Coturnix japonica: one gene and its partners. The protein of the gene in region 3 purifies or fractionates together with the protein of the main gene of each other region. This does not show direct contact. Links are inferred from orthologs where the notes say so. Each region holds a gene or a part of one and is shown on either strand. Other genes may lie near its edges.

Region 1 (4,171 bases), on a different chromosome or scaffold from region 3:
TCAGCCCAACCAACCCCACTCACTTTTTGAACATCCTGGGACGGTGGGAGCCGGGACAGCGAGATCCTGTGCCGGGCGTGGACCGGCGGGCGCGGGGCGGGCTGCCGGGACTCCGCGCTCCCTCACACGAGGTCCCGGCCCTCCCCCTCCAGCGCCAGCCGGAAACGCCGCGCGCTTTACGGCATGTCGCGCCGCTGTATGACAACGGAACTGCTGAGGCTGGGAGGAGTGGTCATTGAGAGCAGATCGGCTGAGAACGACCTGGGGGTCCTGATAGATGAGAAACTTAACGTGAGCCAGCAGTGCGCACTGGCAGCACGGAAAGCAAATGGGATCCTGGGCTCCATCAGGAGAGGGGTGGTCAGCAGGGATAGGGAGGTGATCGTCGCTCTCTACTCGGCTCTTGTGAGGCCCCATCTGGAGTACTGTGTCCAGGTGTGTAGCCCTCAGTACAAGAAATACATGGAGATTTTGGAAAGGGTCCAGAGGAGGGCCACGAAGATGATCAGGGGGCTGGAGCACCTCCCCTATGAGGACAGGCTGAGGGAGTTGGGTTTGTTCAGCCTGGAGAAGAGAAGGTTGCGAGGTGACCTCATTGCAGCCTTTCAGTACCTGAAGGGAACTTACTCCCAGGAGGGGAGTAAACTCTTCGAAAGGGCTGATAATAGCAGGACTAGGGGAAATGGTTTTAAGTTAAAAGAGGGAAGATTTAGGTTGGATGTTAGGGGGAAATTCTTCACTAGGAGAGTGGTTCGGCCCTGGAACAGGCTGCCCAGGGAGGTTGTGGATGCCCCGTCCTTGGAGGTGTTCAAGACCAGGTTGGACGGGGCCCTGGGCAACCTGATCTAGTAAAGGTGTATGTTTGGTGGCCCTGCCAGGCAGGGGGGTTGGAACTACATGATCCTTGAGGTCCCTTCCAACCCGGGACATTCTGTGATTCTGTGAATGGAACGCGCTGTGTCTCTGTGCATGTGCATGGATGGCAAAGCAGGATGCGGCTGTCTCGCAGTACAGCCGAGGAAGGGCCGTGCTCATCCATAGGGCGGTGTGATGCTGTGATGGAACGTGCTGACACCGCGCTCTGCTCCCAAAGGCTTCAGAGTCACCGGCATGAAAGATCAGGCCACCATCCGAGCACCTTTTCTATATCAAATCAACCGCGATACATAGCATCCACACAACGTTCAGCCAAGCTTCCACGCGTGGCACAGTCTATTTAAGCGCTGTGATACAGCCGGTTCAGGACTCAAACACCGAACAAACCCCTCACGAACCACGCACGGCACTGCGCCCGCACCGCGCATGCGCACAACGCCGGCCTCAGCCACAACGGCGCCGCCATAGGCCACGCCCCCTATAGGCCACGCCCCTCATAGGCCCCGCCCTGCGCCGGCGCGCGAGGGTTCCGGCGGGCGGCCGTTATAGCGGCCGGCAACCATGATCACTTCCGGTAGGTCAGAGGGCAGGCAGCCGGCGGCCGTGTTGAGGCGTTGGCTGCGGGGCAGCGCGAGGGAGCGGCGGGACGAGCGGGCGGGAGGGAGGAAGGGCGGAACCCGGCGGGCAGGGCCGCGCCGCTGGGACCGCGGGGCCGAAGCGGGGCCCGTCGGGCGGCCGCGCCCCGGCATGCACAGCGAGCGGATGCGCCGCCATCTTTAGGCTCCCTTCCCCGCCTGGAGTGACAATAACAAGCACCGGGCCCGGCCGCCCCGGCAGCGCCCCGGCAGCGGAGAGGGGCGGGCGGGAGCCCTGCGGAGGAGCGGGCGGCGGGGGCCGCGCTGAGGGCGCTGAGGCCGGGGCGCTGTTGGCCCCGCTCGGCCGAGCAGAGGTGGCGGGGCGGCGGGGAACCGCTGGGGCCGGAGAACGGCGCTGAGAAGAGCCCGAGGGTGGACGGAGGTGGGGGAGGAAGCGCTGCTTTGAGGGCGGGAGACGGAGGAGAGCCGCGAAGAGAAACGGAGTCACAAAGAGAAGGAGATCCGGTGTTTCCTCCGAGGGATAAGAAGGAGAAGGAGGGGGAATACCGAGGGACTGTGTCGATAAGGAGAGAGGAGTTAAAAGACTCCGCTGAGAGACGCCACCGGAGGCTGACGGAAGAGCTCTGTCCTCTTTGTCGCGCTGCCAGGATTTGATGCCCGTCAGCCTGCTCATTTCTGTGTGTTCATGTTTCCCACAGGTTTCTCTTCCCCCAACCCCTCCACTGCAGCTCAGGAGGTCAGGCCCGCCACTGATGGTAGTAGCGGCAGCAGCTCCTCCTGCAAGAAGAGAAAGTTAAATAATAGCAACTCTGAAAGAGAGGAATTCGATTCCATTTCCTCCTGCTCGTCATCTCCTTCCAAAAACAACTCCTCCTCGTCTTCTTTAGTCATCACCGCCTCTTCGTGCTCCTCCTCGGGGGTCGCCTCCTCCAACCATCACCTCCAGAAGAAGCTGCGCTTTGAGGACTCCTTGGATTTTATCGGACTCGATGTGAAGATGGCTGAAGAGTCTTCTTCCTCCTCCTCTCCCGCTGCCTCTTCTCAACAGCAGCACCAACAGCAGCTCAAAAATAAAAGCCTTTTAATTTCTTCAGTGGCCGTAGGGCACCATGCCAACGGCCTGACCAAAGCTGCCTCCTCTACTGTGTCCAGTTTCGCCAACAGTAAACCTGGCTCCGCTAAGAAATTAGTGATCAAGAACTTTAAAGGTAACAGACCATAATTCCTCACAATCTCTGCGGAGCTGCCGCTCAACTCTGTGTTTTGTTTTCAACATGAAAACCTGGTTGGCTTTCAAATAGCTCCAGGTTTTACAGGAAATGCTTTTTTGTGGTAAACATTCTTAGACTTATGTAAAGGGGGGTTATGTTGATGATGCGTCCTTGCCCGATCACGTGCACATCTGAGCCAGACTTCCCTGCTTGGGCTTATTGTTCTGACTGCATTCACTCTGTTGAGGAGAAGGCCCTTTCTAGTATCTTGAAGGAAACATTTTACTGCCTAAGTGTGTAAATCACCTTTGATCAAACTTCTGAGGTTTGAAAGCACTTTTCCAGTAACCCAGACTCAGGGTATACAGTATATTTTAGCCTTGTTTATGGTAAGTCTTTGCAAAGTATCCTTAAAAAAAAAAAAGACTTGAATCTCCATGTCTTGCCCACGTGTATTTTGTCTGTTTGTAGGTTAATCCGCTTGTGCTTAGTTTTAAATGTTGAAACTAAGGTGATTATCCAGCTCTTAAGGCGGATTTCCTTTCTGCTTCTCCTACTTGACTTCAGAGTAGGTAGTTCAGACTTTTGCAGGTTATTTTTCTTGCAGTATCATCACTGCTGTGCTTATTGCTTAATTTTTTAGCATCTTTTCTACTTTAATATGCTCTTCCTTTTTTTTTTTTCTTTTCAAATTTACATTGTTTTGTAGTTTCTCAACCAACATGGTGGAGCTTTTCCAATGTTGTTACTTGAGATCAACTGAAGCAGGGAAATGAAGCTTTCTGATGTGAATTCAGCATGATATTCTAATGAACAAAATTGAACTAGGTGAAGGCAGCGATCCTAGCTAAAATTCTGTAGTTTTTATCCTAAAAAACGTCTGAGAATTGTGAGATTTTCTTGTTAGTCCATTCTTCCCTTTCAAAGTAATTCAAGAACTTACTTTCCTGAGTGGTTTTGTTTTTCTTCTTATGTTTGGGTGGGAGAAGAGAGGGCTTAAAGGTCTGACAGAGATTAAAACGTATTTCTAAAGAGGCGGTTGATACAAATGTGCTGTAGAGATAGCACAGAAGGTGAGGATTAAGGATTACCTGAGCCACTGTAATGTTCCAGTGTGACTTTTTGCTTTAAGGACTACTTAATTCTCAAGAATGTTCCCAGTCTGTTTCCCGTGCTGCCATGTCACCATCTGTTAATTTGGTTGCCTTAAAACCTTGTACTTAGGGTGCATGATGGCAAGAAATAAATGCTGCCACTGCATGTACTTTGTTATTTTTAAGAGAAGGCAACTTTTCACATTGAAAATATTAACTACATGCCAGGGATGACATGGAGCTGCAATCATCATTGCTTATAAATTGCTCTTGGAATCACTTCCTTAAAAAGAATGTCTTGAGAATCTGCATCTCTGGTTTTTATTTATGCTCATATGCCAAGATGACTAATAATCGTAGTGTGCTTTTGTCTGCGATAGCAATACACGTCCTT
Region 2 (4,150 bases), on a different chromosome or scaffold from region 3:
TGATGGAACCTTGAGGGGTAGGGGAAAACAGCAATGCATTCAACTGGAAGCTTAGAGTGTGAAATGTCATGATTAAAAGGTGGGAAGCACTGCCCAGAAAGGAAGTGAAGAAGACAGAAAAGAGTACATGCAGGAGAATTAGTTGGCAAGACAGATCTCAGAGATGAGCTCAGAAGCATCACACTTAGTAGATGGAGGGGTAGCAAGAGTCCCAAGTCTCTTCCTCTCACCCTCCCACCTGTGAAGGGAGATCCAACTAGTTTGATTTAGACCAAATCTTCGCACTGCCCCGGAGCCTGCGGAGAGAGGAAGAAGTTTTAGACTGGACACTAAACTTCATCTCTGACTTCCTTTTCTAAGCGTACACAGAGAACAGCTGGCATTCAGGGAAGGCTTATGAACTGTGCTTCAGATCAAGAGCTGCACCCCCTGAATTAGCCAGAGGTGGAGGTCAGCTTGGACCATTCCAGGCCTGGGGTGTAGACCCCTGCAGTGACCTCAGTGCTACAAAACAGAACTCCCCTCAACACACATTAGGCAGTGGCTACGTTTGTTTGCCACCATTCCTCACCCTTTGGCTTTGGAAGTCTTCTTGCTGGTCTGGCGCTGGTTGGTGCCAGGGGCAGGTTCCCTGAGCTCTGTGAGGTGCTGTTCTGGGTCTTGAGAGGTGGCTGCTGCAGCAGCTGCTGTTGTCACTTTAATTGTCTTCTTCAGATTCGCCACCTGCAACAGCAGTAAAACAAGAACCAAGGAATTTCTCAAGTTATTATCTTTTTTTCCTCCTCCCTTTTATTTTGTCCAGAGCTTTGCACTGCTGAGAAGTGCTTAAGTGACTCCCAATTCTTCCTCAAGCATAACTACCCCGGAGGGTTTCAGCCTAGGGTAATGCCTTAGCCCTATATAGTATATATACTATACTATAGCCCTCGAACAAGGGCTATAGTAACAACAGGGTATTGGTTCCACTCTTTCTTTAAGCAAGGGGTAATGCCTCCTCCTCTCCCTCTTCAGCCCACTCACCTCACTCTCTATCTGCTGCTTAAGTGCCAGCTGTTGTTCTTTGTGTTGGTTGGCTCGGCTAACCTGTTCTTCAATGCCAGACAAGACAACCTCGCAGCCCTGGCACCTGTAGAGAAAATGTTAAGCTGAACAGGACAGGTAATTGGTACTGCAGGGAAAGAAACATGAAGATGACTGGTTGAACTGTAAAGACCAATAAAACCTGGAAGGTAACAGCTACTCTAGGCAGGGTAGGCACAGGGGTGGCAGTCCAAAGCAATAATGTAGTGACATTATTACCTAGGAGGGAGACACATAACAAAGCGGCACTAGGTTAAGAGCTACAGATGTATACTCAGAAAGACTCTTGCCAGCAGCTGGAGCTGGATGCAAAAACTGCTGCTCCTTTCCTCACCCCTCCAATGTGGAAGAACGTTGGATAGTGGAAACTATTTTCCACTGCCATTTGGGAAAGGAGACAGAGGTCACTTTGCTACGCTGCCCCCCAGCAACACACAAAGGATGATCTGGTGAAGCCCCTGACCACTCCTGCAACCTTTGAAGGTGTTAGTATGGGCGGCTTCCTCCTCACCACTCCTGCAATGTGCGGGTGATGGTGCTTAGCTCCTCCCTCCGGATGTCCCTCCCAATGCTGTAATCCACCTCCAGGCGTTGGTTCCGCTGATCCAAGCTCCCTCGCAGCACATCTGCATACACCGCCTCGATCACGAGGTCCTCTAGCTGCCGGACGTTCTTCAGCTGTAACTGCTCCAGCAGCACCGAATAGGGGATGCACTGCAGAGACATGATGGTAACTAACACAAGGTAAACTCAGAAGAAGGAAAACTAGAGGTAAAATAGGGGCATTACCTTGATCTTTGCAGCCAGAGTGACGACCGACAGGTGCCTCAGTTTGTTCTTCTGAGCCTCTGTCAGGGGAGGGAGGTTTGCTGCTTCAGCTGTTGCCAAAGGGAAGGACGGGGCATTAGAATTTATACCTCATGTTCTATTTCCCAGTCCCGCAACGGAAGCATTTGCCCCAGTCCCATTTCTCAGAACTGCATCACAACGGCTCCCAAAGTGATGCTTTGTCTTAGCAGGCCGTCACCATTAATCCACAGCTCAAAGGACCTTCACTGAGCAGCCTCTCCTCCGTTTGAAGCCACCTCCCCAAGCTGTCCCACACCTTATTTATGGAGACCTCTACATCCCAATGAATCCCCCAGTCCTCCCCCCACCCCTCGCAAACACCATTGCCCAGATGTTTTTGGACCCCTCCATGGCCTCCTCGGCCTCACGCCCAAACCCAACCTCGCTCCCAGCTCTGCGGCTTAGGGCACGATTCCCCAAGCCCGACCTCACCCAGGTAGTCGGCGTAGGTGCCGTAGGCGAAGATGGTGAGCAGGTGGAAGACAGGAGAGAACTCGGAGTCGGCCAGCTGCGGGACAGAAGGCGAGTCAGGCCACACCGCGGCCCAGGCCCAGCCGCGGGCAGGGCAGGGCAGGGCACACGGCACAGGGCAGGGCACAGGGCAGGGCTCACCTCGCGTACGGCCGGCATATCCAGCAGCTCCCCGAAGACGTAGATACCCGGGGCCTCCAGCACCTGATGGATGAGGCTGGCGAGCGCGGCGCCGCGGGCGGCCTTGGCCAGCAGCAGGAACTGCTCCTGGCTCTGCCCCGTCACCTTCCCCTCGGCCGCCATCCCGCTGCCGGGCACTCGGCCCCGCCGCGCTGGCGTCCCGCAGGCCCCGGCCCCGCCACCGGGCGCCACCTCCAGCCCGCCCCGAGCCCTCTCCTCTATGGCGGCGCCGTCGCAGCCCGCCCGCTTCCGGGTGTGACGCCGGGCGGGCAGAGTTTGGGGCGCCCCCTGTCGGAGGAGGACTGCGCGGTGCAGCGGGCAGCTCACGGTCCTGGCCCGGGGTTGCCGTCCCGTCCCGGCCCCGCTGGGCTCCTCGGAGCTCGGGGCCGGGCTGGAGCTCGGTCTGTACGCTGAGGCTGCCGGCGTGAGGGGAGCGGCGCTGGGAGGGCCGAGGTGGAAGGCTGAGTTATAATGGTGGCGGCCCCGCCGCTCGGCTGGAGGTCACTCGCCGCTCACAGTATCGCTGTGGCTGGGGCTGTGGGGAAGGGCTGTGATAGATAGCGAGGCCTGCGGTGCTCCTTACGGCGGAATGAAGGAGGAGAAGGGCTGACAAGGTGAAGCAGGGCAGCATCAGTGCAAGGTACAACCACCACCTTCCTGCCTTCACCTCCCTGTCCGTGTGCTTCACCACGCCCTGACACCTGACGCACCCACCTACAGCGGGGCAGGTTGTGTTCTGACCAGGTCTAAGTGTAGCCCTGCTGCTCTGTAGCATGTCTTGCTCTCTCCCCCACCCCCTCACCAGCTCCTTCCATCTCAGTTTTATCTCCCTATCGATCTGTTTCTCTCACACTCTCTGACACGCTTGCTGCCTTTCATTATTAGTTCGATAAAGCGAAGCAGCCCGAGCATCCCAGCTGCAGCAGCCTCCCTCTGCACCGACCCCGGGTCTTGTGTGCTCTTTGCTGGGTCACCACAGTGTTTCTTCTCTTTTGTCCTGCACGGAGCTAAAATAAGGGCAAGGAATGAATCACTACCCGAGCTCCCTTAATGAGAAGGCCATCATCATCTCTGAATATGCAACCACTCGTGTGAGCGCACGGTGTCTTGCCCATAACTTAGCAAAGTCTTTGTTCATCCTTAGATGCAAAATCAAACTGGCTTGTCAAAACGCTGCCAATATTTTGATCTCTAGCCCTTCCCCAAACATAGTCCAGATCTGTGATGATTTTTCACAACTCTATGCCACAGAGTCCTGGGCAAAAAGCTTGTAAGGACGAGGGAGGATGGGGCAAATCTCTTTGCCAGACAACGTGATGGGGAAAGTTTTTAACCACGTAACTTGTACTAGGTTAACACACAGGGTGGTAAGACCTGTGCCTAGTTACATCTAGGGCAGCCTCACACCTATTGCTCACAAAGGAGTTTAAGAGGACGGTGCCTGCGCAGTAACTCTTATTCCCATGTACTCTCACAGCCCTCGGGAATTTGCAGATCAGGACAGACAGCCTCCAGTCATGATTCTCCAGCAGAGAAAGGACCTTTCACATCACATGGTGGCTCGTGTCTG
Region 3 (3,500 bases):
CACTGATCCAGTGCGGGAACTGTGTGCAACAAATGGAAAGTTCGGAGGTCCCACTGAAGAAACACAGGCTAAGGAGCAACAGATGATGGACAGTGTCTGCTTCCTTTTCAGTACAGTGCTGAAGAGATGATTAATTGCTTTCAAGAAGCCTCACTGACACTCTCTCATAAACATAAAAGAACCAGTGTCAGATCCCAACACTACCTTCAAAACCAAAAAACTTTTACTGAGGACATCATTCCCAATTGTCAGATGTTACTGCAGTAGTTTCAAGGTACATCTTGGTAAGGGAATGCAAGAGAGTAAAGGTATCACTAAGTGCATTAGGGAAAAAAAATAATCTCTCTCAAGTATTTCCATTAGTCCCAAATCAGAAATATAGCCCAGATTTAAATTCTCTGAGAGTCCCCATTTACTGGATTCCCAGACAAAAGCTGCTGCTTCTGAACATAGTTTATAACACATCAAATAATTTACAGCTGTGTTTCTCAAACAAAATATTCAGGTTTCAACACATTATCATGATGGCTGAAGGATACAATTTCTGTGTTGACTATGACCTCCAGCCCATTGGGATGGAAAACACCACTGATGGTCATGTTGAATTTATCAAACTTGTGGATGGCTTGTGCTGATCTGACATCCCAGAGGACACCATCATTTAGGACAAGGTCATCAGTGGGGTTAAATGTGGCACAGTTCTTCTTGTAGTTGTTGGCAAGATCTGGGTTAAACAGAGTCAATAGCTTGTTGCCAGTCTGAATATCATAGATCTTTTAGATTAAAAAGAAAGAGAAACATTAGTCACAATTTGTAACATACCTGTACCTTAATACATCCCATGTTTTAGATCACTTCTAGAATCACCCCAACCCCATTTTGCTTTATCATTTCAAGCAAAAGCATTCTTTAGATAACCATTCCTCTGTCAGTCTTAAAAATCTTTAAGAACTGCTAGATGTAAAGGGCTTTAATGAAGAAAAAAGGCTTTATGGCCATTTCAAATCAGTTTAATCTGTAACACTCTGCGGAGCCCAGCTCTCCTTCAAACTCGGCAAAGAAACAATTCTCTAATATGGGCAAACAAACTGTTTAACAGATAAACACAACACACAAACCGATCTGACTTCCAGGTTATTCAGTTAAAAAATGGGCAGGAATTAATAGTTTGCTTAAACACATAATATTTACATACAATATGGTCAAGTTTATACCCTTAAACAGATGAAGTTATTTGCTATTTTCAAAGCTCTTCCTGTAGCTCACACAGGGCCTTGCAGCACCCAGACCTGCTAATAAACATTCTGTGAAGAATTAAACTCTTCTCACAGCTTCACAACCATGACTTTTACTGGTACTTACGTGGGCAATGTCTCCTTTTGTGCCAATGACTCTGTCTTGAGAATGCTTGCTGAACTCCACATATTGGTCATCAGGGAAGGAATGCCTATAGGGAGAGTCAGTAAAGATGTCAAGGACTCAAACTACTAGTGAAAAGACTTTCCTTTGCCATTGACCATAGCACACTACAATACTAAAATGCTCCACTGGCATTTGCAGGGAAGTATTTATTGCAAACACAGTCTTTCCAGCAGATCTATTAAAAAACACAAGCAGCAAGTCAATAGAATCACAGAATGAATCACAGAATGGCTTAAGTTGGAAGGGACCTAAAAGATCATGTAGATCCAATCCACTACACTGGGCAGGCTTGCCAGTCTGTATATCAGGCCGCCCAGGATCCCATCCAACCTGGCCTCATCATATGCATACAGAGATGGGGCATCCACAATCTCTCTAGGCAACCTGTTCCAGCACCTCACCACCTTCCGAGTAAAACTTCTCACCTAAATCCCCCCTCTTTTAGCTTGAAGCCACTACCCTTTATCCTACCACTATCAGATCGTGTAAGAAGTCAGTTCCCCTCCTGCTTTTAAGCTCCCTTCAAGTACTGGAAGGCCACAATGAGGACTCCCTGGAAACATGTAATAACACTACCACCGCAACAGATCCTGCACCACAACCTATTTGCAGGAGTGACCAACAAACTGCAACAGGAACAGTCAGACACATATACATGGGATAGTATCATGAACCTTTTATCTAGAGAATGCTCTTCACACAACAAACTGTTGCTTGCAACTGAGGTAGATGATAAGGAACAAAGAGCTTCTCCTCCACTTTCAATGAGAGCAATTGTAAATATTAAACTCAATTTGACACGGCTTTCTCTGGGATACTGAGGTCCAAAAATTTCACTACACAAAACCAACACGTTATAAAATTCTGTGACTGGTTACAGAAAGGCTGTCAAGATGACAATCTTACCAACATAACAATAAAAACACAAATGTAATTCTCTGCCTTCAGGAACAAGGGTCATCTTGCTAATCTAATTTCATTAGATGACTCTCCAGGTAAGTAGAATACATCTGTACTCAAAAGAACAGGAAGATGCCAAAAATAAAGTCTGTTACTCTTCTCATGTTTTCAGAACAGACTCTGGGTGAGCTGTGCTGTCCTATTCTCTCATGGAGCTTGTTCTTAGGGATTCTGCCTGTACTGAATGTTTCCAACTGTAAACCCAACAGAGATCAGAATACACTTACTTCATATCAAAGACAGACTTCATTCCCCACAATGCAGACAGAGGTTGGCTCCATGTAGCAGATGTCAGCAATAAGGATCCATCCTGTATTTCCAGAGTGGAGTGGAGAGGAAGGAAGGAAAAGAACACCAGGGAAAACAGAGGTTATTGTTTTACTTGTGCACATTCATTTAGATTTAAATTAATCTTGTAAGAACTACAGCAAGTTTTGTGGTCTTCACAACTCTGAAGTCACTTTAAAATCTGTTACTTACAAAGACACAGCCCCTGCATCTTCTCAATATATTGAGAAGAAAATAAATTACAGAACTCAGAGAGGCAGTGGGTAACCACTACCAGTACCTTGATCACAGGCACTGCAGGCCAGCCAGCAGGTGCACTTGAGATTTATAGATGTGCCCCAGATACAGCAGGCTGTAGTCTACAAGAACTTCAGAACTCAGCACAGGTCTCCAGTTACTCACCCTCGATGGCTCAAGGTGTGTGATTGCAGAGTTATGGCAGTTGTAACTCGCCTCTTCCTGTCCACTGAATACATTGTACAGTTTCAACTGCCCTGTGCAAGTACCCAGCATTAAGAATCGTTCACGCGCAGAAAAAGCACAACAGGTAAAGCCACTCTCATCCTCATTTGCTTCCCGGAACACAGAAATTGGACGGAACCTAAAGAAGGTGGAAAAAGGGTTACCAGAAAGAGAGCAGAAAAGCAAAACGGAACTACTGCATGAAGTAATGGCACTAAAACCAGTCCTCACTAATGGTGTAGGCTGAAGTTACAGTTCTCTTCTAAGACCAACTAGATGTTAATTATAAGACTATTGGTCAAGTAAGAATGTGACAACAGTGTCTGCAACAATCCTGGGTGTGTTTTGTGGGTAACCAAGTACTTCTG
Region 4 (4,054 bases), on a different chromosome or scaffold from region 3:
TGCAAGAAATATGACAAGTAGTGCATTTCTCCAGCTGGACTAGAAGAAGAACTTTTTGGCTTAATATTTCCACCATGGTGTCCCTTCACAATCAGTGTATACACAATGCACATGTGTATACGCTGCCTATGTAAGCTACGCCTTCTGAAAGTCTGCAACACCAAAGAGAAATATTCATTTCATTTTTTAGCTGCTGGAGAAGTCACACAGGCACAACAGGGTTGATTAAGCAAATGAATACAGAGGAAGAAAATGGTTTAAGAAAACTGAAACGTTTATTTTTAAATACATTTCATTTGAGGAAGTAGTGGATGAAACCAATAGTTTCAGTCAGTGTCAGCTGAGGTCAGCAGGCCTGAAGTTTATAGAACGCTCCCATACCACACATAACCATTGTTTTAGGTTAAAATCCAGCATCCTGATGTCACATCTGATCCTTACCACAAAAAGTTCTGTTAGGCAACCACAAAATAATGCCCTAAAAAATTCAGAGCCTGTCGGAGGTATTTCTGTAATAGCACTCAAGGTAAAATAAAGACCGAGGAGTAGTATCTGTGTCACAAAGGCACAGCAGAGTCTGCAGCAGTCAGAACCCAGAGAGACTTGAAACACAGCAGTATAATGCTTGATCATCCTTCAATGCTTCCATAGGCTTTCTGTCTATATGTACGTATCTATCTATCGGCATATATATGCTATAGATAACATGTGTACATGCATGACGATACATCTACAAATATACTGGAAGCAGAAATGCAATACTCAAATACTCCTTGCAAGCTTTCATAAAGACTTCATCTTTATACACATATATATATAGTGTATGTAGATAGATATATCGTACACACACAAGCGTATCTATAAAAATACCACAGTTCCATGCTACCAAAATTAGTCAGCAATCCCAGACAGACGACTGGACCACTGGGCTTTCACAGATTCTAAATTAAGTCTGGGCTCTGTTACACATCAGCCCCTGCTATTAGTGGGGCCCATCTCTGGATGTGTATTTTCACAACCCATGCCCAGGCCATCGGTACAATGATTATTTTCTGGCTTAAAAGAAATACGTAGACCACTTTCTCACTTCTCAAATCAACCAGCACTTAACTGGAATGCAAACGTGCAAAAACCTACCTTTGGCAGTACCCAACGATTCAGATATACATCCTGGCTACATAGAGACACAGCGATGTTGACCTCAAGTATGCAGCTCCACCTCACATTTGCAGAATATTCATCATTCCTCTTGAAAACACCCTACATAAACTTGCACTTATTTATTTATTTATTACATTTAAGCCAATTCTTTCTATAACTGGATTTGAATAAGACGCTTTTACCCCTGAAGCTATACAGAAAGTCACCGAAACGCTAATGTCTAAATGCATAGTTTCACCTTCCACTAGCCCATAATCACATTACTGTTTAAAGCTCTGCCATATGTTTATGAAGATAGTACGTGAGCATCCGTGGAGAACTCATTAATTCTAAGCCAAGTATGCCATCAATGCCTTTCAGGGTCAGTACGAGTTTTTTCATCATTTAAAAGGAAATGTATGCAAGAAATATGTCAGATATTTTGCGTTAACACGACGGCACACAGCCCCATCTCCCTCTACCCCGTCATGCCTTCAGGACAGAGATACCCTCTCTCATCCATATATAGTGGCATACTTGGGAAGTTCCATTCCTGGTAGATTAACTGGGAGAGGGAGATAATGTGAGATATCACAGAACCGGAAAATAACATCCTTTTCATAGCATCGGTGCTTATTTCTTTAGGTAAACCACCGCAGCAATAAAGTCAGATCCATCCAATCGTCGCCCTGGAGTACAACGACAGCTGTTTCCAAGGGAAGACGGCTATCGGCCTGAGCTAATCAGAGACATAGGAGAGCAGCCTTCATTCCTCGCCATGGCTCACGCGACCCTTTAATCACAGCGACTAACCTCACTGCCAAAATGTCATCCCCAAAAAGGCGTTTACCCGTTTACCAGAACAGCTCCTCGCTGTCTGTGCACAAGATCTAATTTGTTACCGACAACGACACGTAAAGCGGAGCGAAGGGGGGCTGCAGGAAGGGGGAGCCGCTCTGCAGCTCGGTTCCAGCCTGCCAGCCCTGGAACCCACACTCTCCTCCGCTCCGAGTTTGCAGAACCGGCCCCGAGCGCCCCGCGGGGCGGGACAGGCGGCGGCGCTCCGTGGACCCCCCCACCACCATCACCACCACCACCACCATCACCACCACCACCACCCTCCCGACCCCCTCCCATGCCCGTGCTCACCGTGTGGGAGGCGTTGCTGGCCCTGAGCGGCGGCAATGCGAGGGGCGACGGTGGGCCGGTCCCAGCTCCTGCCCGGGAGACCCCGGCTCCTGCACCCGGGGAAGACTGCAGCGGACGGCCGCTGTCCCCTGCCCTGCCTGCGGAGAGCAGAGGGGTGAGCGCGGAGGGCAGCGGCGGCCCCGAGCCGCCCCGTCCCGCTTCGGGCAGAAGCCATCGGAAGCCGATGGCCGCCGCGGCCCCGCGCTCGCACCGACGGCCGGAACCCCCCCCTTCCCCCCGGTTCTCCCCCCTGGTCCGCAGCATTGTTCCGACCCCGCGGCGCCCGGCCCGCTCCTTACCGGCCGGGTAGGCAGCGCCGGCGGCGGCGCTCGCTGAGGGTTTCTTGGTTAACATGGCCGCTGGAGAGGAGGGAGAGGAAAATGCATGTCAGGGCGGCTCTCCTCCGCTTCTCCTCGGCCTCTCTGGGCGGCGGCTGCCTCTCCTCGCCGATCAGCTACACCCAGCGCCCGACGCGTCCTCCGCCGCATCCCCCCGGCCCCGGGCCGGCCGGACACAGCCTCCTTCGGCCCGCCGTCTCCTCCCGCCGCAGCCGCAGCAGCAGCAGCCGCGCCGCCGCCGCAGCCCCCGGCCCAAGCTCATCACCTCCCCCGCCCCCGCCCCGGTCGCCCCGGTCCCCTCGCTCGGAGGAGGGAGGGGGGCAGCAGAAGGCGGCCGGACAGGGCCCTCCTCCTCGGGCGGCGGAACGAGAACAAACAGCGCACCGAAGGGCAGTGCCCGCCCCGCCGGCCGCCTCCCCTCGCTCCGCTCCTCCCCGCGTCCCCGTGCGCTCCCCGCGCCCGCCCGCACTTCGCCTCGCTCCGCTCCCCGCTGCCGCCCGGCAACCGCCCAACGGCCTCCAGCGGGGGTGAAGGGGGAAGGGATGAGCCGTTGGTCACCCCCAGGTCACAGCCATGTTGGGGCCTGCCCTCAGGGGGTCACCGCCACCGCGGGAGGACGACGGTGGCACCGCTGGCTGTGGGAGGGTCGGTGCGAGGGGATGGAAACTTCAACATGGCGGTGCCTTGGGAGAGCTTCGAGAGTCGGGCCGGAGCGGCCCGTGCCTCCATGCAGAGGGAGGGAGCGCGGTGGGGGCAGTTATGGGCCCTGCTCTGCCGTGTGCCTCGCCGAGTACAATGCTTTGAATTCCTGGTTTGTCAGCTTGAACGTCACGAGAGCCAAAAATAGATAGCTGAACATTTGCTCAGCCCGGGACGGCGTCGAAATGAACTCTCCTGCCTACGCTCAACCCGCTTGGAAATGTGTACGGATCGCGTGTATTTTCCCTTCTGAAGCAGCCAGTGGGGTTGCAAGCAGAGCTCCCTTCATCCCCTGCCACAGGCAGACCTCCCTTCATTCCCTGCCGCAGAGAAAGGCAGACAAATAAATCTTCCCTTTCCTGAGAAAAAAAGAACTCCATCCCTGCAGCTGGAGAGGAAGACTTGGCCTTTTCCAGTGCCACAGATAAATGTGTAAACAAAGACATTTCCTGTGCTGGTACAAAGAAATAAACACTTTCCTCAGTCCCTCCTGTTGCAGAGAGAAAACAATCCTACCTTTTCCAGCCTGCACCCACCCAACCTTTTCCCTTCCCTGCAGCTTTGTGCCCCTCTATAACCCCCAGATGTACCCAGACACCGCACATTTCCCATCCCTTCACTACCAGGGCTATAAATGCTGTTTTCTGGTGTCTCTTGGTGTTTTCCCATTGTTTCCACAAACACATCCA
Region 5 (4,088 bases), on a different chromosome or scaffold from region 3:
TGAAGTTTTGATGCTGTAATGGTTAATTAACAGAAAGCCATGCTTACAAGACAGCAAGAACTCCTAATGAGTGTTCCTGCACATCCAGGGCTCCAAGCACTGTATCCAGATGGGAGAGGTTTTTTGCTAGCAGTTCTCCGCTCTTATTGATCAGCTCACAAAGCTGGGTCATTTGCCCTGAAATAAAAAGCATCCTTGTCAGAGTCCAGTTAAAAAACACACATGCATTCCCATGCTTCATTACACCGAATCCCAATAAAATAAAACAAATGAGGATAACATAGAATCACCCACACAACTGATTGCTCTGCAGTATGTTAGGCACCAGTTCTCAAAAAATAAGGTGGCAGAGAAGCTTCTGACAGCAAAGGAAACCCGCAGAACATGAGCAGCAGCATCAATCTGCCTCATTATAGAGGACTTCAGGATCTCATAGCGACACTAAGCTCAGTTGAGCCAAGTCTCCAAGACTCTGACAAGTTTACTGCGATGCCAAACTCTCTCCAATATGAATAGAAATTACCTACGCTTGCTCTTTCTAGTTGTTAAAAGGAAAAACGTATCTACCAATAACAGTGCCCTCCTCTTTTCAAAACAATCATAGAAACACCTCAATAGCAAGGCTTGCTCCTTAACATTCCTCAAGTGCCTTATTCACTTTCCTGGTCTGTTCATTATTAATTACAAAAACCCTGCAACTAAACACCTCCAATAACAGGATTTTTTTAAGTCTGTCCTTAACTTCATATAATTATTCCTACAGTATTGTTCTATTCATCGTGAACCATAAACACATTATGAAATGTGACTATTTGGAATTAGGAAGGTATGGTAAGCCCTTAGAAATAAAGCAGGGACTTCCCTCTTCATTATAGCAAACTGCTGTCAAAATCCTTTTTCTTCTTTTTCTCCTTCAAAACTACTAGAATTAAAACAGCATCTTTCTGAAGCAGAGAACTGTTTCAGTGTAAAACCTTGTCGATTAGAGGGATAAAAGCAGAGCTCCTTTCACCCTTATAGAAGTCTTCATGAACTAAAGAATGGTGCTCCCATTCTTAGAGATTAACACCATTCTCAAATTTCTTGGCCTTTCCCTTTGAAAACAAAACAAAGATGGAACCTGGGGAGCCTTACAAATGCAATGTTAATGTTGAAGTAAAACAGGGATCAAAAGGTCCATATGTGAGACCACAGACCAGGAACCCCAGACACCCATCCTCATAACATCTCTGTCCATCCAGATTTAAAAGTCCCAAGATAAGGATGGAAAGAAACAGGGCCTATAAAATCGTATTTGGCAATGGTATTCAAGCACTGCAAAAAGTCAGTTCTGCTGCTCTCCCCTGCACACAAATCCTCCTGTTCTATGGCCACCATCTAGCATCCACCCCCCATGAAAACAAACAGGAACCAAAGGAAAGAAAAAACAACAAACCCCAAACATGCTAAACATTAACAGCATGCAAGTAGGAGACCCACACAAGGCCTCGCTACATGGCCATTTATATCAACCCCTGTGCAGTTCAGCACTGACAGCCAGGGACAACAGTACACGTGCTTCCACCACTGCAGCCTGCACTCACTCCTCATAGACAGCACCTATCTGGCTAGGCCCCAATGGGAAAGCTTCCATGAAGGCAGCCAGTCTTCCCCTAGTACAGTGTTCACCTTCAGAATTACATAAGAACTCCCCAGTTAAACTAAATCATACATATCCTGTAGTCTGCTAATTACCTGCATCCTGCATAGGTACATAGATGTCTCCAGCATCTGCTATCCTCAGCAAATTAAACCAAAGCATGACAGTCTGCACCCCACCCAAAAGTAACTGCCAGAGATAAAGCCTGAGGGCTGCAGAGGAAAGCATGAATTTCTGATAGCTTACAAACATCCACAGAACTGTAGGGGTTGGAAGGGACCTGGGGATCCCTCAGTTCAGCTCCTCCTAAGGCAGGTTCCCTACAGCAGGTTGCATAGGAAGCCATTCATCCAGGTGGGGTCTGATATCTCTAGAGACTCCACCAGCTCTCTGAGCAGCCTGTCCCAGTGCTCTGCCACCACTGCAGTGAAGGAGTTCTTAGGGAGCTGCCCCACAGAAAGTTCGTCGAGTACAAAACGCTGTGATTACACGTGGGGTAATGAGAAGTTTGGCAACAAAACTGAGACGGCTTACATAGAAACATTCAAACGCTTTCTGAGTGTTGTGTAACGACAGCTCCGAGGCAGCCCCAGGCCTTTACCCTATTCAGCCGAGATATGTCAGAGATCCCAGCAGCACTGATAGACACTCAGAGCCCCACAGCGGGAAGGCAGAGCTCTCACTCCCAGCAGCCAGTACTTCTGCGATGCATTAATACCCCCAGCTCAGTCTCTACACCACCCCCGTGAAACCATCCCCATTTCCCAGCCCCAAAGCTCCATCCCAGCCGCTCCCCGTGGGCCTGCAGCCCTGCAGGAACACCCCGACAGCGCATTTAGGCCTCACCGGAGCCACGAGCAGCGCTCCGGACACACCCGGACATACCGAGCTCCGCACCACAGGGCCCAACTCCCACCCCACATCAATCACGACACATCCAGGCCGCAGCCCGCTCCCCACAGCCGCACTGGGTCCCAAGAGCCGCCGCCCCCAGCCGAGCCCCGCCCGCGGTTGGCAGCCCGCGGTCACCTTGTGCCGAGAGCTGCCGGACGCTGTTAACGAACTGCTCCAGCGCCGACGCCATCTTGGCGGCTGGCGGCGCGGCCGCGCGCGCTCCGTGAGGGGCGGGAAGGGCGGGAAGGGGCGGCGGGAAAGAGGCTGCGCCACGGGAGCTGCCAACCCCAGCCAATCAGCGGGCTCTGCGGGAGGCGCGCGACGTGCGTCACTTCCGCTGTCTCGCGAGAGCAGACGCCTCTCCCCCCCTCCCGCTGCGGTTGTTGGGGTAACAGCGGCCCGGCCGGAAGTACCGCCCCGCGCGCACTGCGGATGGAGGCGGCCATCTTGGCGGCCATCTTAGCGCCGGAAGTCGTGACTCAGCAGTGCCCACGGGTGACGCGGTGATGGCGTCACTGCCCCTCCCGTGTCATTGCCGGGCCCTGTGCCGCCGTCATGTCCGGTGCGTGCTCGGTGCCGTCCCGGTGTGCCCGTGGTGGGGCTGGACGTGCTGCAGGGCCGCAAAGTGCCGGATCAGCGCGGCCTCTCAGCGTCTCGAGGCCGTTCTGTGAGGGGACGTTCGTTGAACAGCCGATGTGGGGCCTCACAGAGCGGCTGTGGTCGGAATGGCCCTTCAAGGTCCCTTCAGAGCACGGCCGGCCCTATCACTGCCATCATGGTGGCTCAGCTCAGTGTCTGTTATTTGATAGTATATACATAACGCTCCTTAATATCAGGGGACAGAATTCATCCCCCTGGTGCTGTGTAGCAGTGATGTTAATTCAGTTTGTATAAGCACAAATGTCTTTTTCATCCCTAGAGGAGCCCAAGTGTGCTGTGCTGAGCTGCTGGGGCTGCCAGGCGTCCTGTGGTGTGTGAGCAAGAGCAAGACTTTGTGCTTAGCCCTGGAAGACAAAGGCATCATCTCACGGCTTAGGAAAGTACCGAAATCCCATTCGTTGCGACGAGTTAAATGTATTTCTTACCTGCTTGAAACTTCACATTTTCAGTTTCACATTTCCTGTTACATACACCGCTGTGATGGGGAATTCTGTTCCTCTGCTCACTCGGTGCCCTTCACCACAACCCATCTGCCCTCTATGTGCAACAAGGACAACACACCCCGCTAGGAAACATTCCCTATTTGGAGGACAAAATATCTTGGATCTGCTGAGTTGAATCATTGCTTTTCATGTCCCAACTCAGCAGTTGTCTAATCCTGTTAGTCACACTCTTGACGCCTCCCTGCTCTTCGGTGCTTTAAATCCCCCAAGTGCTTTTTGGCCGTAGTGATCTGTGGTCCTGTGTCAGAATACGCAGCCCTTGGTGCTGTTTCTATGTCAGCCCTTCACTCTGACACCTCGAGTCCCTCCTTTGCACAGTCAGTGTCCGGGTATCTATTAAACCTTCACATCACACACAGCTGTCACATCCAGTGAGACTCTGGACAAAGTCT
Region 6 (4,016 bases), on a different chromosome or scaffold from region 3:
AAAAAGCTGTAATAATAATTATCTCTTCTATTATGACATGAGAAAGACAGCACTGTAGGCTCTTCACCTACACAAGCCATGTATAAGTTTCAAATAACCACTTTAATGGCTTGTTTTGAGCCGAGTCCTCTGTTTAGTAAGCTAGTTATTGCTGCTTGTACTGTTTCCTCTATCAGTTCTAATATCCTGAAGAGCTTATCTTCCAAAACACACAAGATGGAAACAAGCAGGCATTACATGATTACTTTGTTGTTTATGCTGGTTTTTAACTTCAGTCTTAGAACAGGTTACGTGAGGTGACCTCTGAAACAAACAGTGATCACACAACTGTTGGTCAGATATTTGGTTATGCTTTCTAAGACACAGCCTTTCCTACCCACCCACACAAAAGTCTGGTCCAGATTCAAAGCATTTACTTTCTTCCCCCTTTACTGCAACAATGTTCTATTCCGTGCCCTCAAGAAGGGCAGCTGCTGCCCTATTTCAAGCTATTTAGGATCTTGTTGCAAAGGGAATTCTCTTTTCCCATTATTTTTATCACTCGCTCCTCACTCGGCAGTTCTTTGCACTGCCCCACTTTCTGTAGCCCATCAAATATCAGCCACTTCCACCCAGATCCAGGCAATCTACCACCAATCCCAGACATCACTTCTATTTTAGTAGCAAAAATTGGCTGCCACCCTCCTATTGCTCACTGCCTCTGCCAAGCACCTTTGTGCTTTAACCCATGCGGCCACTGCCGCTTGGGAAAGACTATGCTTTGGGCTTCCCACCAGGCCTTGTTTTTAACTCTGCCACCGTGCCAAATTAAATACATCAATCAAGAAGTTCCAAGGCAGGCTGGGGTACCACTGCCTGCTGCACTGAGCCCCAGCAGCCTCTCTTCTCCTGTCATGGTGCCAGATAGAGATGCACATAAAGGAGCACTGCCATAGAGAAGCAGTACACACACTGATATTTTCCCCATGGATGGCTCTGTGCTCACCAACCGAGAGTTACAGCGACCTGTACATACAGGTCAGCTTTCCAAAAGATGCTGAACTTCCTCTTATTCCTTTGGCAGAAGGAATATGTATGTATGTATGTATGGGCATGTTCACAGCCACCACCCACCGTACAGGAATCTTGCTGATTTGCACCAATGACTTCCTGACTGCTGGGCTGTCCTTACAACACGCACATTTTTACAAACAGAATAAGCAAAAAGCACAGTTCTCTCTTTACAGCTTATCTGAGATCTCCCTCCTCCTCTACTGCCAAAGCTCAAGTCCGTGCCCCGGCAATTTCATACCCATATTACTATAATCTCTTTTCTGAGCCTCTGAAAACAAGTTAGGTAACATTCAAAGCATCTGTGTTTTTCTAGCTGGGCATGAAAATGCAGGATTTCTCAAACGCTCTATTTAAAACCATCAAATGTATTATGTAAATCAGATTCTGCAAACCTATAAGTATTACCAGACACATATATATCAGTCCAGCTTGAAGGCAGTATGTTATATTAGGTCAATATGCCTTCACACAACGAGCCGTTCTGATGCCACACATTACACTCCATCTAATGACACAGAGAAGTCACTTCAGCTCTGAGACTCACCCTGCTTGTTAACTTCAGCCGCGTGGCACAACTTACAGCATCAGTGATGTTTTATAACAACACGAGCAGTGCGATTCTTGCCTTCATTCTCCAAAGAGCACTGACACTGAAGTCTCAGCATCGTAACAAATACTTTTAACGCTGGCTACTCTCAAACACCAAAGCATGAACCAAAAAAGCCATTGTAAAACACAGACACTGCAAAGCCCAGACAGAGCAAGACCCTAATTTCAGGATCTGGAGCAGGCAGAGTGTTGGGGTGGCTGGATGCCCAAGTGCAGCTCTCAATACCTTCCAACACAAATTGCTTCTTCATGGGCCCAGACCTTGAGAACTCTCCTAGGAGCAGCGAGAAGCTGAGGCACAACACTGTGAACTGTCTGGAAACACAGAGCGTTCTGGAGATAATAACTGGCCTTTAACGAGTCAAAAATACATCTCTGCTTGATCTGAAGCCCTGCGAGTCTCCATTTTCCACATTACACCGAAAGAAAACATCACCGTACGGGTCTTACCTGGTAGAGCTCCTCGAGGTTGTACTTAATAGAAGTGCTGCTCTGAATGGCTGCCACCGCCTCGTGAAGTTTGTGCCAGGTGTCCTGCGTGTAGTTATCGGGCAGCTTGGGCCTTTCTGCGGGGGAACACGGAGGCGGCTGAAGGCGGCCCGAGGCTCGGGCTCCCCGCAGCCATCTTCCTCCGCTCAGCCCAGGGGCGCTCACGGGGCACGGCCACGGGGCAGGTCGCGACCCCACGCGAGACGGCAGCGCCCGAGCGCGTCCAGGCCCGTGGCCTCCTCCTCCTCCATCCTAATGCGGGGCCACCCCAACCCCGCGGCCCCACGCGAGACCCCGGGATGCGGTTAGGGAGCGGCGGCAGGTTCTCCGCGTCCCTGTAAGGCGGAGCGGCCCCCGCGGTAAACAAAGGTGCGGAGAGGCCGGGCCCGGCACCTGCCGCCGCTCGGCCCCGCACCCACCTCTGAAGTTCTTGATGACGAGTTTCTTGGAGGAGGCGGCGGCAGCACCGGCCGAACCGCCCCCGCCGCCTCCCCCACGCGTGGCGGCTGCGGCCAGCGAGGCGGGCTTGGTGAGCCCGTTGGTGTGCCCCACCAGGGCCGACAAGTGCGGCTTCTTCTGGGCTTCGTCCGCCATCTCCGCCCCGGGCGCCGTGTCCGGCCGGGGCAAGGCGCTGCGCTGGGCTGGACCGCCCGGTCCCCGCCTCCGCTCTCCTCCTCCTCCTCCTCCTCCTCCTCCTCCTCCGCCCGCCCTTCTTCCCTCCCTCCCTTCCTCCCCCACCTCGGGGCGGCAGCCCAGCCCTTCCCGCCAGCTTCACACCGAGCGTCCCCGCTCGCAAGATGGCTCCCGGGACGGACGGCTACGGCGGACTCTCGGTGCGAGCCTCTTACAGACAACCCGTGGGGAACTTTATTCAGCTTTTTGGAACAGATTGCCAAGGAGCTGCCGTCCCTTCTTCACAAGGCAGGCACTGCGGCCCCCGGAGCACAACGGTCCGCTCCCATAAGGTCTTGCTCGGCAGAGAAAGACCTGGGGGTCCTGATGGATGAAAAACTCAACATGAGCCAGCAGTGCGCTCTGGCAGCCCGGAAAGCAAATGGGATCCTGGGCTCCATCAAGAGAGGGGTGGTCAGCAGGGATAGGGAGGTGATCGTCCCTCTCTACTCGGCTCTTGTGAGGCCCCATCTGGAGTACTGTGTCCAGGTGTGGAGCCCTCAGTACAAAAAAGACATGGAGATTTTGGAAAGGGTCCAGAGGAGGGCCACAAAAATGATCAGGGGCTGGAGCACCTCCCCTATGAGGACAGGCTGAGGGAGTTGGGTTTGTTCAGCCTGGAGAAGAGAAGGTTGCGGGGTGACCTCATTACAGCCTTTCAATACCTGAAGGGAACTTACTCCCAGGAGGGGAGTAAACTCTTCGAAAGGGCTGACAATAGCGGGACACGGGGAAATGGTTTTAAGTTGAAAGAGGGAAGATTTAGGTTGGATGTTAGGGGGAAGTTCTTCACTAGGAGAGTGGTTAGGCCCTGGAACAGGCTGCCCAGGGAGGTTGTGGATGCCCCGTCCTTGGAGGTGTTCAAGACCAGGTTGGACGGGGCCCTGGGCAACCTGATCTAGTAAATGTGTATGTTTGGTGGCCCTGCCAGGCAGGGGGGTTGGAACTACATGATCCTTGAGGTCCCTTCCAACCCGGGTCATTCTGTGGTAAGCACAAGCTGACACCGGACCCCGGTACGACCAGCACGCTAGTCCCTCTGCTCCCTCCTCCCGCCGCTCCGCCCACTGACGTACCACACACACCGATGCACGTGCTTTTATACCTAACGCGCGCTCTGGCCCCGCCCACCGCTCTTTTCCATTGGCTGCCTCGAAATAGACCACGCCCCCAAACGGCTCCGGTGACTACGG

What was found.
Region 1: the proteins of DCAF1 (region 3) and CUL4B purify together in Homo sapiens (affinity purification with mass spectrometry; 9 studies listed by BioGRID and IntAct, with this or other methods). This does not show direct contact. The link is inferred for Coturnix japonica from reciprocal best matches to the Homo sapiens genes DCAF1 and CUL4B.
Region 2: the proteins of DCAF1 (region 3) and COPS7A purify together in Homo sapiens (affinity purification with mass spectrometry; 4 studies listed by BioGRID and IntAct, with this or other methods). This does not show direct contact. The link is inferred for Coturnix japonica from reciprocal best matches to the Homo sapiens genes DCAF1 and COPS7A.
Region 4: the proteins of DCAF1 (region 3) and DYRK2 purify together in Homo sapiens (affinity purification with western blotting; 5 studies listed by BioGRID and IntAct, with this or other methods). This does not show direct contact. The link is inferred for Coturnix japonica from reciprocal best matches to the Homo sapiens genes DCAF1 and DYRK2.
Region 5: the proteins of DCAF1 (region 3) and COPS3 purify together in Homo sapiens (affinity purification with mass spectrometry; 5 studies listed by BioGRID, with this or other methods). This does not show direct contact. The link is inferred for Coturnix japonica from reciprocal best matches to the Homo sapiens genes DCAF1 and COPS3.
Region 6: the proteins of DCAF1 (region 3) and CUL4A purify together in Homo sapiens (affinity purification with western blotting; 15 studies listed by BioGRID and IntAct, with this or other methods). This does not show direct contact. The link is inferred for Coturnix japonica from reciprocal best matches to the Homo sapiens genes DCAF1 and CUL4A.

The regions. Positions count from the first base shown.
Region 1 is NC_029519.1:15,291,950-15,296,120, forward strand, and holds the start of CUL4B (cullin-4B), read left to right. Parts: upstream 1-1,371; 5' UTR 1,372-1,437; coding exon 1,438-1,450; intron 1,451-2,170; coding exon 2,171-2,680; intron 2,681-4,171. Other genes in the region: MCTS1 (malignant T-cell-amplified sequence 1), read right to left, coding at 24-34.
Region 2 is NC_029516.1:69,466,828-69,470,977, reverse strand, and holds the start of COPS7A (COP9 signalosome complex subunit 7a), read right to left. Parts: upstream 2,801-4,150; 5' UTR 2,704-2,800; coding exon 2,542-2,703; intron 2,438-2,541; coding exon 2,362-2,437; intron 1,959-2,361; coding exon 1,870-1,958; intron 1,795-1,869; coding exon 1,592-1,794; intron 1,127-1,591; coding exon 1,021-1,126; intron 724-1,020; coding exon 572-723; intron 297-571; coding exon 257-296; 3' UTR 239-256; exon of another isoform or gene 1-238.
Region 3 is NC_029527.1:1,236,650-1,240,149, forward strand, and holds part of DCAF1 (DDB1- and CUL4-associated factor 1), read right to left. Parts: intron 3,272-3,500; coding exon 3,073-3,271; intron 2,693-3,072; coding exon 2,610-2,692; intron 1,448-2,609; coding exon 1,363-1,447; intron 774-1,362; coding exon 540-773; intron 54-539; coding exon 1-53. UniProt on the Homo sapiens protein: Acts both as a substrate recognition component of E3 ubiquitin-protein ligase complexes and as an atypical serine/threonine-protein kinase, playing key roles in various processes such as cell cycle, telomerase regulation and histone modification.
Region 4 is NC_029516.1:31,679,920-31,683,973, reverse strand, and holds the start of DYRK2 (dual specificity tyrosine-phosphorylation-regulated kinase 2), read right to left. Parts: upstream 2,801-4,054; 5' UTR 2,683-2,800; coding exon 2,628-2,682; intron 2,427-2,627; coding exon 2,290-2,426; intron 2,192-2,289; exon of another isoform or gene 1,786-2,191; intron 1-1,785. UniProt on the Homo sapiens protein: Serine/threonine-protein kinase involved in the regulation of the mitotic cell cycle, cell proliferation, apoptosis, organization of the cytoskeleton and neurite outgrowth. Functions in part via its role in ubiquitin-dependent proteasomal protein degradation.
Region 5 is NC_029529.1:4,779,269-4,783,356, forward strand, and holds the start of COPS3 (COP9 signalosome complex subunit 3), read right to left. Parts: upstream 2,801-4,088; 5' UTR 2,724-2,800; coding exon 2,669-2,723; intron 178-2,668; coding exon 48-177; intron 1-47. UniProt on the Homo sapiens protein: Component of the COP9 signalosome complex (CSN), a complex involved in various cellular and developmental processes.
Region 6 is NC_029516.1:123,900,109-123,904,124, forward strand, and holds the start of CUL4A (cullin-4A), read right to left. Parts: upstream 2,801-4,016; 5' UTR 2,746-2,800; coding exon 2,571-2,745; intron 2,229-2,570; coding exon 2,113-2,228; intron 1-2,112. UniProt on the Homo sapiens protein: Core component of multiple cullin-RING-based E3 ubiquitin-protein ligase complexes which mediate the ubiquitination of target proteins. As a scaffold protein may contribute to catalysis through positioning of the substrate and the ubiquitin-conjugating enzyme.